Linked DNA regions of Caenorhabditis elegans. The protein of the gene in region 3 interacts with the protein of the main gene of each other region in a pairwise test. Each region holds a gene or a part of one and is shown on either strand. Other genes may lie near its edges. The genes, in order: cth-2, lys-1, C18B2.4 and lys-8.

Region 1 (5,129 bases), on a different chromosome or scaffold from region 3:
GACCTCTTGATGGGAGGACGCCCAGAACGAACTTCATATCCGCCTAAATACTTGTGTCGTCCTTCACTTGAAATGATCGAAGATAAGCTCAAAAAATGGTTCGGTCTGAGATTCTGTGAAGAAAATGAATCGTATCCAAGCGAGTTTAATAGTGTCACCGATTACGAACTTCCCGAGTATATCATGGCTGAAGTGCGCGAGGTAATTTTGAAACAATAGATATTGCTTATTTTTGTTCATAGCTTTCAGATAAGAGAGCAGAAAGAGAAAGAAACACAGACAACGGGATCGTCGAGTCGGAAAAGAAGAGTACCATCCCCAGAAGATTGACAGAAGAAGATGAAAATTATGACATTCAAACTTAAATGATCTCTCTATGATTCCTTCTACGCTATCTAATTATAATTCAATGTGTACCTTTCTTTCATATACCAATTGCAAAATATCATGTTATGTATTCCAATTTCTGTTTCGAATAACAATTATCATTTTTCATAGAAAAAATTTATTGGATAGTGTAAGACACAATTTGAGTCGATTAGTTAGAGGTTGTGGTGGAGACGAGTGGGCAATTAAAACTAGTACCGGCTTTCAGATTTGAAACAAATGCATATCATAAAATGATTGAAAAGTTATACTTTTGGAATGGCAATCTTCAAAGCTTGATCCAAATCAGCAACCAAATCATCGAGATCTTCAATTCCAACAGAGATACGGATAAGGTTATCAGTGATTCCAAGAACAATTCGAGTTTCAGCAGGCACTGAAGCATGAGTCATGATAGATGGAAGCTCGGCAAGTGATTCATATCCTCCAAGAGATTCAGCCAAAGTGAATACTTTGAGAGCAGAAAGGAAAGCACGACTCTCTTGAAGTTCTCCTTTAAGATAGAATGAGATCATTCCAGACATTCCCTTTGTTTGTTTCTCATGAACTTCATGTTGTGGATGAGATGGAAGAGCTGGATAGAGAACTGATTCGATACGATCATTGGCTTCAAGGTATTTGGCAACAGCAAGAGCATTTTCATAGTGAGCTCTCATTCTGATGTGAAGAGTTTTGAGTCCACGATTAACAAGGAAGCAATCAAATGGAGATGGGACTGCTCCGACGGCTGAAAATAATAGCATTAAAATTTTGAGTTAACGATTAATTTAGCTATCCAATGAGATTTTAAACAGTTTTATAATTTTGCGACATTTGACTCAAGGTACATGTTCTCGATATGAGCGAAACTTTGCTTCTACAGTACCCACAAGTATTTAGCAATTTTTTTTATAGTTCCAATGTATTTTATATGATTTCTAAAGCAGAGAAACTGATTTCTTTTCTAGAAAAACACGAAGAAATTAATATTGAAATTCAGTGAAAACCGTTAAGAAAAAATTCGAAGCACTTGCGAATACAGTAGCTGCCAAGTTTCACTAGCTTCAAGACCGGTTACCGTATCTATGCCTCAAAATGACAAAATTATACGACTAGATTTCACTGCGTACAACAGCACAGTAAACTAACCAAGTTGCATGAAGAAAAGATGTTGTTGGAACTCGTCATTATCAGTGATAACAGCACCCATAACAACATCAGAATGTCCATTAATATACTTGGTAATTGAATGAACGACAACATCCGCTCCAAGAGAAATTGGGCGTTGGAAGTATGGAGACATGAAGGTATTATCAACAACTACAACAATTTCTGGATTGGCTTTCTTTGCAGTTTGGACCACTGCGGCAATATCAACAACCTTCAAAAGTGGGTTAGATGGAGATTCAAACCAAACCATCTTGGTATTTGGTTTGATTGCTTTCTCGAGATTCTGAACATCCGTCAAATCAACCGAATCGACTTCCAATCCGTGATTAGGAACAGCAACACGGCGGATATATCTTTGAGTACCTCCGTAGACATCATCAGAGCACACAATATGATCTCCGTACTTGAGAAGATTGATGATTGCGGAAGTTGCGGCAAGTCCTGAAGAGAACACTTGGCAGTGTTTTGCGTCTTCGAGAGCAGCCAGATTCTTTTGAAGAACATCACGAGTTGGGTTTCCAGCACGAGAATAATCGTGTCCCTTTGGCTCTCCTGGATTATCCTGTTTGTAGGTCGAGGACAAGCTGATTGGCGGGACCACCTGAAAAGTATCAGTTCAGTATTTATATTCAGAATACCTATGACAAACCTGATTCATATCCCATTGCTCTGGTTCTTGTCCAACGTGGATAGCAGCAGTTCCGAAGTGTGGGAAAGTAGCCATTTTAATCTTGAGACAGGCTGCAATAAGAAGACTGATGTCGAGAAATGATAATCAAATGGATTTATAAGTGTGAGAGAAAGAGGAGAGAAAAGAAAAAAGAACGAATGAAAGGGGCGGGGTCAAACGAAGGGTCGGTCGACACGCCGAAAGTTTCAATGAAATCGTTAAAGAAAAAAACGTTCTTGACATTGGTCAAAAAGACGTTAATCTTCTATTATTTTTAGATTTTACAGAATGTAGCTGATTAGGCAAACAAGATGTTAAAAACGGAAGAAAAGAAGAAAAATAAATAGTGATGTGCAAAGAAGGAATGAACAATGTTTGATACTATTGAATGATGTACACATCTGGAATAAACACTCTTATCAAATCTCCAAACGAGACCATTTTGCAGAAAAAACCGGATATGAGAAGAAGCGTGGGAAATTGAGAAATTTGAAAAATAAAAGATAAGATTAACGACTGATAGGTGGCGTATTTTTCATACTTCAAAAAATAATATGTATTTGGCACAAGTTTGGTAATAAATTTGACATTTCTGGGGATTCTGTGGTGTTTTTATATGTTGGTTAAAAACAATTTTTATTGCTCAAATATGGTTTTTTCGTGAACAGCTGAATATTTGTAAATTCTATAGTATTTTTTGAAAAGTTCGGAATTTGAATTGTATAATGTCAAGTCACATTCTACGAACCAGAATCTTAATTTTTAACATGAATTGGCCTAATACTAGTAATAGAAACATTTTAATAGAAACAGAGGTTTCTACAAAAATACATTAATCCTACAGTACCCCGACCCTATCCCTCCCTACTAATATTTGTTTTTATAGTAAAAACTTAAAAATCGTGGAAAATGTTATTTTGATCGACTTCCAAAAGGATAGAAGAGAACTAACTTAAGTAATTACAACGTTGTATAAATAATAGAAATTTCCGAAAACATTTAAGGATGTATAAAAATTTCTATATTTTAGCACCATAAGATGAGTTTTTTTGAAAATCTCCACTGGCTCTGCATACAAACTACAGTAGGCCAACAGTATCATGACAATGTATCAGCTCAAGTTCACAAAGAGTTCTTGCTGCAATTATTTTTTTTTACAAACTATGAAAGTCAGTAATCATAAATGTATTTACTAATGACGATCTTGAAACAAAAGATAACACAGTTTGACGTGACTTACTATTAGAGTTTCCAAAGTCTTGAAGGAATTTTAAATTAACTGAAATCACGTAATTGTGCAGTTTGAACACTATCTTAATGTTTATTTTGTTCCTTCGTTTAGTTGATATAATATTTATCACATGTTACAGTTTTTTTTTTCAAAAAGTTCAAATTCCAGTGCCAATCACCCCACGTGGAGGTCTACCATGTGGTATTTTGTTTGAGAAACATGTCGATGAAATCAAATCCTCAAAGCATCGATTTCTCTATGTCTCGTATCATTTTTTCGTTATCAAAAAGAGAGAAGAATTTGTCTCATTCTCTCGTTGTGTCTACTGCAAACCAGCCACATGTGTGTCTCGAGCAGTTGGACAAAGGGCACCAGAAGGAGAGAGTTCAAGTTCAAAATATCATTTGGAAGAGGCAGATAGGGATTGAATACATAGAAATGATGATAATTGTGACGTGTTTTTTAATTGGCAACCTTGGCGTGGAAAAGATAAGATTTGAGACGACATTTCATTTGCAGGAAGTCTTGAATTTGGAGGAGGAGGAAAAAGAAAGCGAAAGTTTCAATTTATTGATCAATTGCATTTTCTTCTAGATTTAGAAATAGGTAGAGTTGCTACCAGTAGGTTTACATTTTATTGCTTGTGATCAGAAAGCAGGTTTTACCAATTTGCTACTTGAATGAAAAATTAATTTTTTAAATGTATAAGTACCCATAATTTTAGATTAACTAGATTAACTAACTAGATTAATAATTTTCACCAAAGGTGTAAAAATGTGGAGTTGTTGCCGAATTTGCCAAAACATTCACTGAAGGATCTAATAAACCTCAAATAAATAATTATTTTGAAAGCTATTTTCAATTCTATCAGAACATTCTGAAGGTGACCTCGTATTCTTAAACCAACCGGAACTTGGCTGAAAATCGAAAATTTAAAATGTTTCATGTCTATACTGTCGTAAAAATTAAGCCCACCTTTTAATTTTAATAATAATAAGCAATTTATGTATTCTGGATACTAGAAAAAGTAGACAAAAAATGATTTTTTAAAGGTCTGTGAACATACTTACTTATATCATATTAAGAAGTAGAACAGCAAAAGATTATTGAAGTTTGATTCTCCGTTTTTTTCATTAAGTATGTCAACAATTGATAAGAGTTCAGTGACACATACGTCACTATCTCAAAAACATTTGTCAGCAGAAATTCAAATTTAATTTCAATTTCAAGATAACAAACCAACCTCGCCATGTGCTACTCACTTGATAAAATTATAAAATTTTTACGATTTGAAAATTAAATAGACATAGAGAGGAAAAAGGTCAGAATGGCATGTCTAGTGAATGCTCCTGCGCAAATTTATATGGACGCTGCTTTGCGTCCGCTCACCTCCCGCCCCTCAATCTGAGCGGCACGCGGCAGACAGTTGCATCAGCCGTTTGGAAGGAATGGAGAATGTTGATAGATGTGAAGAGTTAGAGATCATAATGATTGAGAGATGAAGAGAAATGATATACTTTACAAAAAACTACTGGTCGGATGGATGGGGACTTTTGAAAGTTGAAGAGCTCTTTGAAAAATAGAAAACTGAAAAAGAAAATTGATATTTGACAATTTCAAGTTCAGAATGCAGAGGACATTTAAAATTCCTAGAATTTTTGAAAATATCAGTGTAATTTTCTATTTTCAGCT
Region 2 (4,387 bases), on a different chromosome or scaffold from region 3:
TACTCATGGAGAAGACATTTGCGGATTCTTTTCAGAACAAAAAATAAGAAGAGCAACAAAAAAGTAAAAGACGAATGGGACGATCAATGGAAAGAAAGAAGGAAAAGGAGAACTCGTAAAAAACGGGACGGGAAACCATCGGACACATAAAACACAGAGAAAAGGCGATGCTGAGAAGAGTTTTCGTGGAAGAAGAAAAAAGAAGACGAAGAAGAAAGAGAGCAACGGACAAAAACGGACGAATGCCCCGGAAATAATACACGAGTGCTCTGCGCCGGATGTCGACCGCTCGTTATTATGAATGCGTTTTTTCGCATCGTTGATGACATACCAACAGAGCAAAATAGGTGGACATGGGTTAAGAAAAGAGATGTACAGTTCATTAGGTTTTAATTGTTACGAAAGGGCATACATTTTCTGAAGCGACCTACAATACTAGAATTTTGAGCGTATAAAAGTCACAAAAGTCACTTAATCTCGCCTCGAACCGGCATGGTCACCTTCAATGTGAACCTTTATAGGTTTTTTGCGCATTCTGAAGGCTATAATACTGATTTCAAAAATATATGCACGTTATCATTTGTAAAAGATCGATTATTGAAACTCTCACCAAATCCATCTGCCTAGTAAGTGCAATTCATATATTTTCGAGTTTTGAGAATGCAGCTGGATTTTCATTTTGAGAGCACAAAATCCTAGGAAAGCGAATGAATGTTTGATCTCAGTATTTTTTGATTATTTTCTGTTGAGAGGTGTATTTGAAAGGGTTTAATGTTGTGCAATGTTTTTATAGCAGTTTATTTGTTTTTTAATGCCAATATTTGCTTTGTCTTCTGTAATTTATAAAACATCTATAAAAAATTGCTGATCCAGTTAAAAAGATCTTCATTATTCCTAAAACTGGGAAAAGTAAGGTACCGAAAATCTCTGATTCTTGATCTTCATTTCTAACTAGAAACCTCAAGATAGTCACCGATAAATATTCAAGTGAATTACGTTTTCTTCTTTTTTATCTAGGAATTCCCTCCGCTCAGCTATTTTAACCCTAACAGGCCACCTTACGTTTTTCTTCTTTTAATTTTCTTCGCAGGAAAACTCATTTGGATGCGAACGAGCTTCTATTTTTTCTGGGTTTGTCTTGTGATTGGCCAGGCACCGGAGCATAACTGACGAGATGTCGGTTCCAGAAAATAAGCGGAGAAAAGGAAAAAAAACGAAGAAAAGAATAGAAAAAAGGAAAGTTTGGTGAAGTGGCAAACGGGAAGAGTCCGTCAATTGTTGTCGAGAGGCGACCACATCCTTCTACTCTTCGTTTTCGAATTTTTGGAGCTTTTCGAATTGTGACAATGAAGGAATATGGATGGTGAAGAGCACAAGGGTGACCAAATATTTTATTGAAACGGAAAAAAATGGACAATGAATTTGGAATGTGGAAAAATTGGGCAATTGTTGAAGTTGTCACATGGGTTTTGATATTTGGAAGTGAAAGATCCTCTTCGTAGATTGCTAGACGTTAATCCGAAACCGACATTAAAGATGAAGCAGCCAGCCTGGAAATGATATTTCCATGAAGTAAAAGAAAGAAAATGAGAATATCTAATAAATAAAACACAAAGATCTATCGTTGTTTTTTATTCGGAATATCATGAAAAGATAAATCTAAACTTCAAATATAAATCAACCTTTGATTCTCAAATTGTCGGCAATATGGCTAACGTTGTCTGACCATGTATTGAAAATATGTAGTTCTTCGTCAACTCATGATAGAATGTTCGTCAAAACCAACAGAATAACATGTGAAAAGTGGGATGTAAATAAATTTAGTGACTCATCTAAGAAACTATCAGCAATAGCCGTTAGCGACTAGTGATATATGTCATAGCGTGCTAGTATTCTATTGACAGAATCGCATGAGTCATATTCACATTTGTAGAAGTATTTTATCAGAAACCTTCAGTTCCAACCGCTTTAAAATTCCCTGCCCAAATTGGTCGCGGAAAGAAATTTTGTTTTAAATGAAGAATGCTTCTTTTTTTGACTAATCGCATAACTAATTTTGGTAGAAATTATTTAAAAAGAGTACTTAATTTTATCATCAACTTTCCAGTTTCCAATTAATATAGTCTTGACATTTAATATTACTAACGCCCCCGAATGAATCTCTTTCACCCTACTCGTCACTTTTCTATCTCCACTGATTACCCTTATCACTGGACGTTTTCTTCTACTTAAACGAGCCGCCATCCATCACCGAATCATTAGATTTTCATTCTCTCAACCTTTTCGTTGGCACTTTTCTTCAAGTCAATATTATTTTCTGTTTTTTGTTTCAGAACCATGCTCAAGCTTGCTTTCGTTACTTTCCTTTTTGCTTTGGCTTCTGCTAGACCACAAGATGTCGACTCTAATAGAGTTGTAGCTCTTCCACAGGACAACTTCGAAGTGACTGATATTGGTTTCGAGAAGATCAAGGCCGAGCCAGCTCCGGAAGTTGTGAACAATGATGCTTCATATGCCTACGCAGTTGATATTTCTGTTCCAACAACAGTTTCTCAAATGAACTGCCTCAAGACATCCAGATATGCAGCTGTTTTCATCAGAGGTTTCACTCCATTTGGATCTGGAGCATTCGACACAACTTCAGTCACTTCTATCAGAAATGCTTATTCTGCTGGATTGGGAATTGAGGTCTACATGACTCCACAACCACTTTCTTCTCTTCAAGGATACCAACAACTTGATGCTCTTTATAACGGACTTAACGGAAATGGAATCACCATCAGATCTGTCTGGATTCAGGTTAGCTATATACAAGAAATATAAAAAACCTTGAACAATTAAAAGTTAAATTAGTTAAAATGTCATATGTGAAAAACTGGAAACAATGTACACTTAAACATTAAAATCTTCTTTCCGGAGATTATTTTTCAATTTTCAACTGATAAGAAATTTAATTCTCGACGATTATAGTCTATACACTTGAACTCTTTCAGGTTACCTCCCCAGCCAACTGGCAGAAGTCTGCAACTACTAATGTGAACTTCCTCAACAGCATTATTTCACGAGCCAAGCAATACGGACTGACTGTCGGAATCTACACCAACCAATACGACTGGAGCCAAATTACTGGAAACTGGGCAACTTTGAGCTCTGATGTTCTTCTCTGGTATTGGCATGTTCTTGGAGGTGGTGTTACTGGAGAGACTCCAGCTACTTTCGATGACTTCCGTGCATTCGGATCTTTCAAGAAGGCTTCTGTTAAGCAATTTGCTCAAGTTGAGTCTGTCTGCTCTTTGACCGTCAATCGTGATGTTTACGTTGTTGGAATCCCAGCTGCTGCTTCATCGAAAAACACTGATTTTTTCACTCAAGAGGACATCAGCAGCAACAACAAAAAGATTGTTGTTGGAGGAGTCATTGGAGTCTAAAATATTTATGTTGTGATCTCTTACCTATTTGTATTATTTCAATAAACAATCCTAGCTTTATTAAAATTTTATTTTAAAAAATACTGAAATATACCATATAACATACCAGATATATACCAGAAATTAAAATGAATGATCAGTAAAATTTTAATTGTGTCTTTTCGCATGACGATTTCACTTTATTTCTGAAGATTTTTGTGGAAATCGTTTCTATAAATATAATTTTGAAAAGTAAACATTTAAAAAGTTAAAATAGCCGTGGCATAAATGCTAATTGGCAGTGATTTCCTGTCCCTCACTAGGGAACGGTCAGAAGGTGCCCATCGGACTTGCATATGAGACCTATGCCATTCGATAGCCCATGTCTTAAAACAGTTACTCGTGAATTTTTAGCGGCAAAACTCCCGAACCAAGCTCACGGCGGGCTCTCAAAGATCTTAAAATAGCACTGTAAGGAAGAACTTTAACGATCTAACGAAGCAATTTTCCAATTTCACTTTGGTAGCTCATATCTCCGTAGATAAATTTTTTACAGAAAAGTCATCAACTGATAAGTTGTTGATTTTGTTGTAACAAACAAGTTTGTAATTAAAAGTTTTTTACCACAAAATTTTTGTTTGAGATAAAAGTGCGTGAAGTGCGGCAACTGGTGTTGTTATTTTTATGCTGCTATTCCGTTTCTAATGATTTTCTCGCAAACAAAAATTTTTTGGTAAAAAACTTTCAACTACAAACTTGTTCTTTACAACAATATCAACAACTTTTTAGTTGATGACTTTTCTGTAAAAAATTTATCTACGGAGATATGAGCTACCAAAGTGAAATTCGAAAATTGCTTCGTTAGATCGTTAAAGTTCTTCCTTACAGTGCTATTTTAAGATCTTTGAGAGCCCGCCGTGAGCTTGGTTCTGGAGTTTTGCCGCTAAAAATTCACGAGCAACCGTTTTAAGACATGCACT
Region 3 (4,482 bases):
CGTTTACAGCACATAATGAATATGAAGCTATATTTTCAGATACCCATATGTTCGATACAGCTATGGAAACACTGACACCGGACTCGGCATTTTGACTCAATCGGAATCGGTAAGTTTTATAAGTAGTTCCAATTTTTACAGAATCAGTATCAAATCTCACTATTATTTCAAAAACTCATCTTCAGGTCTACGGCCACCACTCTGGAATTCGTGATATTGGAACTAAGCGTTGGCTGGAGGGAAAGCTCAATGCCTATAACACCTCTCTTTTCACCCGTCCCGACTACCAAAAACGTGTTGAGAGACCACTAGCATCAGCAAGAAGCTACGTCCGATATATGCCAGTTGATGACGCCTTGGATATGTACAAGAAGAGATGTATGACAGTTGGAACGTTGTCGAAGGTAACGCAATTTTTTAGACTACTGTTGTATTTTCTCCATTAGTCTTGCATTTTCGAGTTTATTAAATATCTTAGCAGTTTCTTGTAGGCACCGCATAAATTAAGAAATCCATAGAGTCATTGAATTTTGAAGAAAAATATAATTCGGTTTTTTATCCTCAGTCAGTTGAAAATGTATTTTGCAGTTTCTAGAAAATTAAAAATAAAGCTTGATGGCAATATTCATTCAATAGGAGTATTGAAAAACATGCTTTAAGTGAATTACAAATTAATATTTCTTTTTCATTAATTTGATTAGTTTTGGCGATACATATTTGTCTTTTGTATTATTCAAAAATTGATTACTGGCTGAACTAAAAATATGTATTATCCAGTTTTCTAGAGTTTTGTATATACTCATTTATTTCTTACTCACACTTGAGCCTAGATATAATCTTTTAAAACTCAATTTAAAAAAAAACCAAAATTCGGGTTTATTAAAAGCCTCACAACTGGATACTCACTCTGCACAAGTATTATTTTTTAATAAAATGAAGTGCAATCTATTTTAGTACTGGCTTTCACCAGCTACTTGGGCTTCCCGTCGCGAGAAGGAGCTCAACCTCTCGTCATCTCTCAGCCGTGGAAACTACTCTTACTCTAGCCGATTTGACAGGTACTGAGGTTTTAGTTTTTGGTAAATTAATTATTCTTAATTCAGACTTGGAGGACGCGTTTATTAAATTTTCTAAAACCTTCTGATCCATTTCATCGACTTCAACATTTTTCCATCGCGATTCAACATTCACGATATGTTCTTTCTACACGACTTCTTGACGCCGTTTTCGCATTTTGTTTGGTGTTTAACAAAGTGCGATGAGCAGCTCGGTTCAGTTATTCTTTTTTTTCTTGTTTTATACTTTAATTGATATTCCAATAAAATCAAAATAATTACATTCATTCAGTAAATTAAACATCACCGTTGTATATAAACATGCGGGGAGACGGACAAAGCGAGGACGGGAATCATTGGATTGAAGAGTCGAAAAGCCACGAACTTTTGAAAAATACAAGCTCATAAGCTTTAAGCGGATAAATTAAAACTTTACAACGGTCCATTTTTGGATGGAAGTGGTGGAGCTTCTTGGTAAGCATTGTAGGCTGGTGGCTGAGCGCTAGATTGTTGTTGAATATTGTTATAATCTGGAAGAGTAGAAGGATGAGGAGCAGCTCCTTGTCCGACGTTGAATCCTCCCTGCGGTGGTTGATTAGTTGGATAAGGATGGTATTGTCCTGGCTGTTGAGGTTGTCCAGGGTACGCCCCAACATTCTGGTACTGGACGGTTCCGACTGGCTGGAATTGTCCGGCAGGATACGGCGTGGTTTGTCCGATTCCTGGGTATGGTGGAGGCATGTCGTAAACGTAGACGTTTTGTGCTGGAAAACAATTTGTTTCGAAGAAATTACTACGTCATAAATCTTACCAGGTGGGCGCTCAGGAAAAACGTTCGTCGGAGCTTGGAATCCTTGGTATGTCCCTTGCACCAAGTAGTATGTCGGTGGAGCAGCATAGTACGTAGTGCCTGATTGCTGTTGCATATTTCCACCATATGCTGGTGGAGCAGCAAATGGACGAGCTCTAGATGCTGAAACAGAACCAAAACATTGATGGGAACTATTCAAGACAATCGTACCCATGTCAGCAGCGCGAAGAAGTGCCTCTCCAAACTCGATGCATCCTCCTTTCGGGAAAGACAAACGCCATTCCGGACATCCATCAAAGTTGCCTCCAGGCATTGGTTGAACCCATCCCTGAAAAATTAAAAATGTGACTGCAAGTCATTTAAGATTGAAAAAAAAACCTTGAGATAGTTTGGGGTGAGAAGTGGCTGTTCAAGTTTCACATCTCGCACTGAATTGAATGGCATCGCGAAGGATTTGAACTCATCTTTCTTGCTCTCGTTCATGAAAATTATCTGAAAAAATAAAGTTGAAATATTTGAAATTTAGGATCAAACGTTTTGGTTTTCAGCTAAAATGAAAAAAAAAACCTATCCAGAAATGAAAATTTGCAACTCAAAAACTTTAAAACTCACTCTGTGTGAAGTGAGATAGAGGGCTCCCGACTTGGTGGACTTGAACGCAGGAACATTGTACTTCTCGAACTTCAGCTTTACATTTGTTGTGTAGAGAAGAATCCTGAAATTATAAAAACTTATTTCATAATTTGAAAAGAATCAGTTTTGAGAAAGAATTTAAAAAACTTACATTTCTCCATTATAAATCAAAATGCCTTGGCCATCGGGTGTGTGCGACGTGTTGAGCGACATGGTGCTGCTGAAGAACAAAAAAAAATCAAAAATACTGCTTTTTAAGGAGGAAAATGGAATTAATGAGCAGATCGGGAATTGCGAAATACACGAAATCGACGAAAAACGGCATGGAATGGCGTGATGGCAACGTTTTCATACGGCGAGGGTAGCCAACACTGACTCACGACCCCGAGACCCGCAATGGAGCGCGTTTTCCATTGCCTTGTTTTCTGCGTCTCTCACAAGTCATGGCTCTCTAGTGAGTGGTGAGTGGCGAAAGACAAATAGTGTTTGCCATTAGATAGAGAGGGGAGTATCGATGCCATTAATCATGAATATGAAGGTTTATTATTATAAGGGCAGAATTGCCGGGAAATAAAGGTAATTAGGCAACGAGCTACTTTTGGAAAATTTTGAGTCGATTTTGGTCGTGTATTTAAACATTTCTGGAAAAAAAACAAGTAGTTGTATTAATTTGTTGAACAATTTGTGGTGAAAGTTAAAATAAATAAATAAGAGAACATTTATTATGTTAATTTGAAAGACTCTTAAAAATTTGGTGAATTCATTTGAAACTTTTCTGGTTTTTAAAGTAGATGTACTCCAAAGTATTCAAATGTTTCTTTTTTGTTTCTGTATAGTTCAACACATTATTATCCGGCCTAAGCTCCAAAAAGTTCGAATGTTATGTTCACAATTTTAATTCACTTTAAAATGAGTATCATCATTTGCTTTGAATTTTAAGGAACTTTTGAAAGTGATAGTATCTATCAATCTAGGCTTTCTCTGTACACTTTGAAAATTAAAATTTCCTGAAATTCGTTTTATACACTAGGTAATCATATTTGTAAAACTTGACACTTGTAATAGCGTTCCTCTTAACTGATATGTCGAAATTTCTAGAATTTCCTATAATATTATTTGTATTTTTGATTTAAATATCAATGAACAATATTATTCTGCCAAAAATTATATTAGTTCCTTAGCGAAAAGAAATGAAGCTGAAAAACAAAAAAAACGATTGATAGGGAATGTTTATCGAGTCGCGTTGGATAAAAATGTTAAGTCGAACAATAAATACAAAATGAGTGGATCGGAGATTAAATTGAAACCATTGAATCAGAAAACACAAATAATAATACTAATAATAATAAATTGTTTTTTAATACAACACTTTATCAGCAAACACTGGAGCTTGTTCGACTTTTTGTCCCTTGTTGTGTCGGAGGATGGCAACTAGTGGGTGGACAGTTTCTTGCAAATCCTGAAGTGAAAGATTTAATAAGGTAGTTTCAGAAGCATAGATAATAAGCTGACCTATCAAAACCGCAAAAATTAATATCATCTCTCACATTCGAACATTATTAATACAATTTTGAAAAGTGAGTTAATATGAGTTAAAAACTTGATATGAAAAAAGCTTAGAACTAAACCGAAAACAAAAATATATAAATATGTTTAAAAAAATTATTTAAATGTTCATAAGCACATTTGAAAAATTTTATGTCATAATTACTATAAAAACCGGAATAGTTTTCATGGAAAGTTTTCTATTTTGAATATTTGAAAGCCTTCCCATACATATGAAATAAATTAAAATTATGCTGAAGTTGGAGTTCAAAATATGTTAAAGTTTCATCAGATACAGTTTTTTCTGCATACGTTTTTCAATATAAGTTTGAATTGAATTTGATCCCGGACGGGTTGAAAAATAATCTTGAGACGCCTCAATTTATACTTATGTTCTTTGCTTTCATGTGATGATTTTTGAAAGATGATTTTTGAAAG
Region 4 (4,575 bases), on a different chromosome or scaffold from region 3:
AAAGCTATTCATTCTTTTGGCAGCAATCTTTCAGAGGAAACTGTTCGTGGAAGAGTGCACTCGTATCTACAAACAACCAGCCGTATATACATGCAGTTCCCATTATTCGGAGGCGTCGACAGCGATTTTGAATATGTTCGGTGTGGGCGGCGCTTTAAGAATATTCCGAGCCCGTCCGAGAAAAGTGTCTCAAGTCGAAAAGTTCGCGAGTCATTTGATGGGAAAACAGTTTGAGGAGGATAAGCTTATTCATTCAGCTTACATGTTTGTTCTAAACCATCCAGAAGCCGGGGTGAGTTGTTTAGAAAATTGATTCTAGTGAAAAATATGAAAATATTACAGGCTGTGACCGGTCCAATAATAAAAGAAGAGGATATTCCATTTGAAGAGACTGTCGAGTGTTCATCCACGACTGCTGTGAATGGAATTTTACCTAAATGTTTCCGACAGCCGAGAAAACAGAAACTTGAAGAAGATTCGTGTTCATCTTCAATTCTTCGAATTATCAAGAAAACCACACCCAGTCTTCCAAATAGATCATATACAATGATTAACCAAAACATGGAACATCCACTACAATGCTGCTACTGCTTGGAAGTGTACGAAAAGCGATACATGACGCAAGTTCCAAAAACCGAGCAACGAATTGCCAGATGGGTGGCAATATTAGGAGAACAATTCCGTATACGTCTTCGAATGAAACCTGCAAATTACATGTGTCGAAAACATTTCCCGCAAGCGGATTTCAGTTCTCGTGGACGACTTCTTAAAACAGCTGTTCCAAATGTTGTTTCCCAGGAGAAAGTACTGGCATTCAAGCTTGAAGGAAACACGTTCGTTGAAGTCAAAGAAGACAATACGAATATCAAAATGGAAAAGGGAACGGACTCGGAAATAGATATAGAAAATTAGAGCCAAGCTCGCATTGTTTTGTTGTTATTTGTTTTTAGATTCTCGTGTTTTGTTTTTTTGTAATAAACTTTATTTTCAGATTTTCATAACATATTGGGGGTACAGTTAGATACAAAATATAAGTAGTCAAATTCCACTTATTTTCGGAACTGATAAAATCTATTGACTTCCTTGAATGAATCCTCCAGCGTAGATCTTTCCATCCTCTTCAACAGCGTCAGCGGCCTTGAGCATAGTTCCAGCAGCATAAACATCTCTGTTGACAGTGAACTGGCAAACTTGCTCAACTTGAGCGAATTGTTTGACAGATGGAGTAGTCCAGCATCCGAACGCGCGGAAATCAGCAAAACTGGCCGGGGTCTCTCCATTGACACCACCTCCAAGGACATTCCAGTACCAGAGGAGAACATCATTTCCAATGCTGCTCCATCCGTTGGTGATCTGGTTCCAGTCGTAGTAGGAAGTGTAGATTCCGACAGTCATTCCATATTGCTGTAAATTATATGAATTTTGATATGAAATTTGTTGCAGAAGTATGAACTAATCGGTTCAGTTTAAAAACGTCTTAACCCAAAGGTCTTATCAGATTAATCAATGTTTTAGACTATAATACGAATCATTCGAGTTTTCGTATTTGAATGTATTTCAATTCCTTGAGCAAAAAATCAAGCTTCTACAGGAAACTTACTCTAGCTCTTGACACAATACTGTTGATAAAGTTGACATTGTTATTAGCATTGCTTGGCCAGTTGGTTGGAGAAGTGACCTGGATCCATACAGATCTGATTGTTATTCCTCTTGCAGTCAATCCTTGGTAGATCTCATCCAATTGTTGGTATCCTTGCTTGCTTGAAGCCGGCTGTGGAGTCATGTAGATCTCTGTTCCGAGTCCAGCGTTATACGCATTCTGAATAGTATTGCAGGAGTTGGTGTCGAAGGATCCTTGTCCAGCTGGGTTGTATGCACTGGAAATTCGATTTAATTGTTATGGAGTTTTAGAAAATGTTCATCAAATTATGAACGTTTGGAATCGAAAAATGAATTAATCAGAAACGAAAGCAGGCAAATGTTTGCCCAAGTTTGGCCAAAAATATTAAAAAGGTTCTGAAGTGACAATACATGACCAGAACTTGTTCTGGTTTAGCTCAAGTTTAATTCAACTGTTGACAATATCTTTACACTTGGGCCAACCTTGGGCAAAAAAAGATTCAACTTTTTTTTATAAATAACAATTTATAGATAGGTAAATCATAAAATCTTTTTCAATTCTTACCGGACAAAGACTGCCGAATAACCAGCTTGTTTGAGGCACTGAAGCTGGCTCAATGAAACTGGAACAGACAAATCAACAGCGAAAGCATATGAAGCCAAATTTGGTGGAACTCGTGGAGCAGCCTCAGCAATGACTTCTCTGAATTTGACTGGAAGAGATGAGTCAACGAATGGAAGGACCTTGACGGAGACTGAAGCCGAATGGCAAAGTACTGCCAGTACTGACAAAAGAGCCACTGATTTGAGAAGCATTCTAGAAAATGTTCAACTTGAATGAGTTAAGAGAAAATTATTAACAAAAAGAACAAAGAATAAGAAACCAAATTTTATAAAAATCAAATACTAAACCGAAATGTTGAAGAAACTGGAGTGGTTATCATGATTTATAGTCTTTATCAAAGAGCTGGCAAGTACCGCTTGTCCATCTGAATTTATAATTTCGGAAAACATTATCATGATATCACACTCTGTTATCAGTAACTGTGTACACACTTTTATGTCATTAATGTCGATGAAAAGAACATCACAAATTATGTGGAATACCGGTAATTGAGCGTGGGCGTTTTGATGATTTTTTCTAGGTTCAAATTCTCGTAAATGACAATTTGTTGTCTTTTATTAAATTGATAGTTCATAAGTGAACACAATTTTTTTCTGACTAACAGATAGTGGTAAGATTTTCAAAGCGATTATGCATATGTTTTACGTTCAACTTTGACCATAACAGCGAAGAAAATTGAAAGTTCTTGAAAACTAGAACTGTAAAATGTATGATATTCTCCTTCAGCACTATACCAATTCTTTTATACAAAAATCCCATTTGCAGCTGAATAAACATTCTCCTTCTTGTTCCATAATTTTTCCCATTTCACTATATTTTTACCGTTTAACATGTCTGTTTAAACTGTACTAACATCCAACGATAGCCCCTGTGAGCAATCCAATTGTTTAAAAATCATTAATCTATTTTTAATGTGAATTCAATTAGTCGAGATTTGTCTTTGGATGGAATAAAAACGAAGATGACGAGTTTAAGAAGTGATGTCATTTCCAGAGGAACAGAGAGTAAAGAATTCGAATTGTTGAAACAGCTGAAATTGTAGATCCATTTCGAGATCAATTTAGTATTTGATAATGAAAAGTGACGTGTCTGTCTATTCATTGAACAAATAACAAAAACGATAAATTTTAGTCCTGAAGCCAATTATTGGTATTTTCTAAAAACTTTGAAGATTTTTGATCCATTATTAATTTCAACTAATTCTTGGCCAAATTGTTGAATTCTTCAGTTAACGTATATTTACTTAACTTTAAAGTGGCTTCAATTATATCCAGGGACCTCTTTAGGCTCTCCTACCTACATTGGGTTTTCAGTATTTTAGTTTCCATCCGTACTTGCCTGCCACATGTCTACCTTCATGCCTGTCGTCGATGTTCTGTATTTCTTTCGTGATCCTACTGCCCGCCTGCCTGTCTATGTGCCTACCGCCTATTTCATTACTTTTAATATTATGCCACATTTTGATGTTCCAGATATCATATAGCTTGTTCTATATCCAATGTTCCTTTGAAAATTGAAAAATCAGAAATTCAATGATATCGTAAAAAAACGAATATATATTCTTTTTTAGCTTCTTCCTGTATTTACTTATGTTTTTTCCTTCTGAATACACACACATTTCTCTCTCACTTTATTATCATAAATCATCATAAAAAAATCATTGGTGACGTCAAAGTTTACATTTTTGGAGGTGCTGTGAAGAATTGTTGAAAGTCGAAGTTCTCGGTGTGATATGAAGACTTTGGAGGTTGTCGTTCAGCGATTTGATGCCAAGTGAAAGCGGATGTACGATGGAAAAACTGAAATGATAATTTGTGTAAATAAATAATATATTCAAAAAAAACTAACGCTCAACTCGACGAAAGCACTTTGAATTTCTCCGAGATGCAATATTTTGGCATTCACATACTTTTCCTTGATGAACTTCGAAATCGCTTGAGCACTTTCATCGCGAACACTTTGGGTTTCCGGCTTCTGTTGTTTGACAACCTTCAGCAGATCTCTCTTCATATCCACATACTGAAAAGTGAAACTTTATGGTTACATTTATGAAAAACTTCTGAAGAAACTAGAGCTTTGAATATTGATTCCTGATAACAAACCTTTGGATATTGACCGTAAAGAAACTTTTTGACTCTTTTGAGATGCTTGGGCCCTCGAGTCTGCAAGTTTCTTTCAGCTGATGCCAGAACGACCGCATTCTTTGCAATTGCATCGTTCATTGCTGGTTGCAACTTTGTGTCCGTTTTCCAGTTGTTTTGAGTCAACTGTACTTCCTTGTTCAGCTTCTCCGCTGCCGTTTGTCCTTTCTCGCTTACAATGTTCTAAAA

The links.
Region 1: the proteins of C18B2.4 (region 3) and cth-2 interact in a two-hybrid assay, tested with the Caenorhabditis elegans proteins (one large-scale study listed by BioGRID).
Region 2: the proteins of C18B2.4 (region 3) and lys-1 interact in a two-hybrid assay, tested with the Caenorhabditis elegans proteins (one large-scale study listed by BioGRID).
Region 4: the proteins of C18B2.4 (region 3) and lys-8 interact in a two-hybrid assay, tested with the Caenorhabditis elegans proteins (one large-scale study listed by BioGRID).

Annotation. Positions count from the first base shown.
Region 1 is NC_003280.10:7,055,684-7,060,812, forward strand, and holds cth-2 (Putative cystathionine gamma-lyase 2), read right to left. Parts: upstream 2,278-5,129; 5' UTR 2,261-2,277; coding exon 2,186-2,260; intron 2,138-2,185; coding exon 1,516-2,137; intron 1,115-1,515; coding exon 633-1,114; 3' UTR 501-632; downstream 1-500. Other genes in the region: ZK1127.3 (EAF7 family protein), read left to right, coding at 1-201, 243-365.
Region 2 is NC_003283.11:10,275,571-10,279,957, forward strand, and holds lys-1 (Lysozyme-like protein 1), read left to right. Parts: upstream 1-2,333; 5' UTR 2,334-2,337; coding exon 2,338-2,799; intron 2,800-2,993; coding exon 2,994-3,428; 3' UTR 3,429-3,486; downstream 3,487-4,387. Other genes in the region: Y22F5A.11 (uncharacterized protein), read right to left, coding at 1-7.
Region 3 is NC_003284.9:3,603,023-3,607,504, forward strand, and holds C18B2.4 (GRAM domain-containing protein), read right to left. Parts: upstream 2,720-4,482; 5' UTR 2,713-2,719; coding exon 2,651-2,712; intron 2,582-2,650; coding exon 2,479-2,581; intron 2,359-2,478; coding exon 2,245-2,358; intron 2,195-2,244; coding exon 2,077-2,194; intron 2,029-2,076; coding exon 1,867-2,028; intron 1,820-1,866; coding exon 1,488-1,819; 3' UTR 1,269-1,487; downstream 1-1,268. Other genes in the region: C18B2.3 (uncharacterized protein), read left to right, coding at 40-109, 186-404, 955-1,058, 1,104-1,125; C18B2.5 (G domain-containing protein), read right to left, coding at 3,857-3,958.
Region 4 is NC_003280.10:5,584,040-5,588,614, reverse strand, and holds lys-8 (LYSozyme), read right to left. Parts: upstream 2,438-4,575; 5' UTR 2,437-2,437; coding exon 2,186-2,436; intron 1,878-2,185; coding exon 1,601-1,877; intron 1,405-1,600; coding exon 1,072-1,404; 3' UTR 964-1,071; downstream 1-963. Other genes in the region: C17G10.13 (THAP-type domain-containing protein), read left to right, coding at 1-292, 343-912.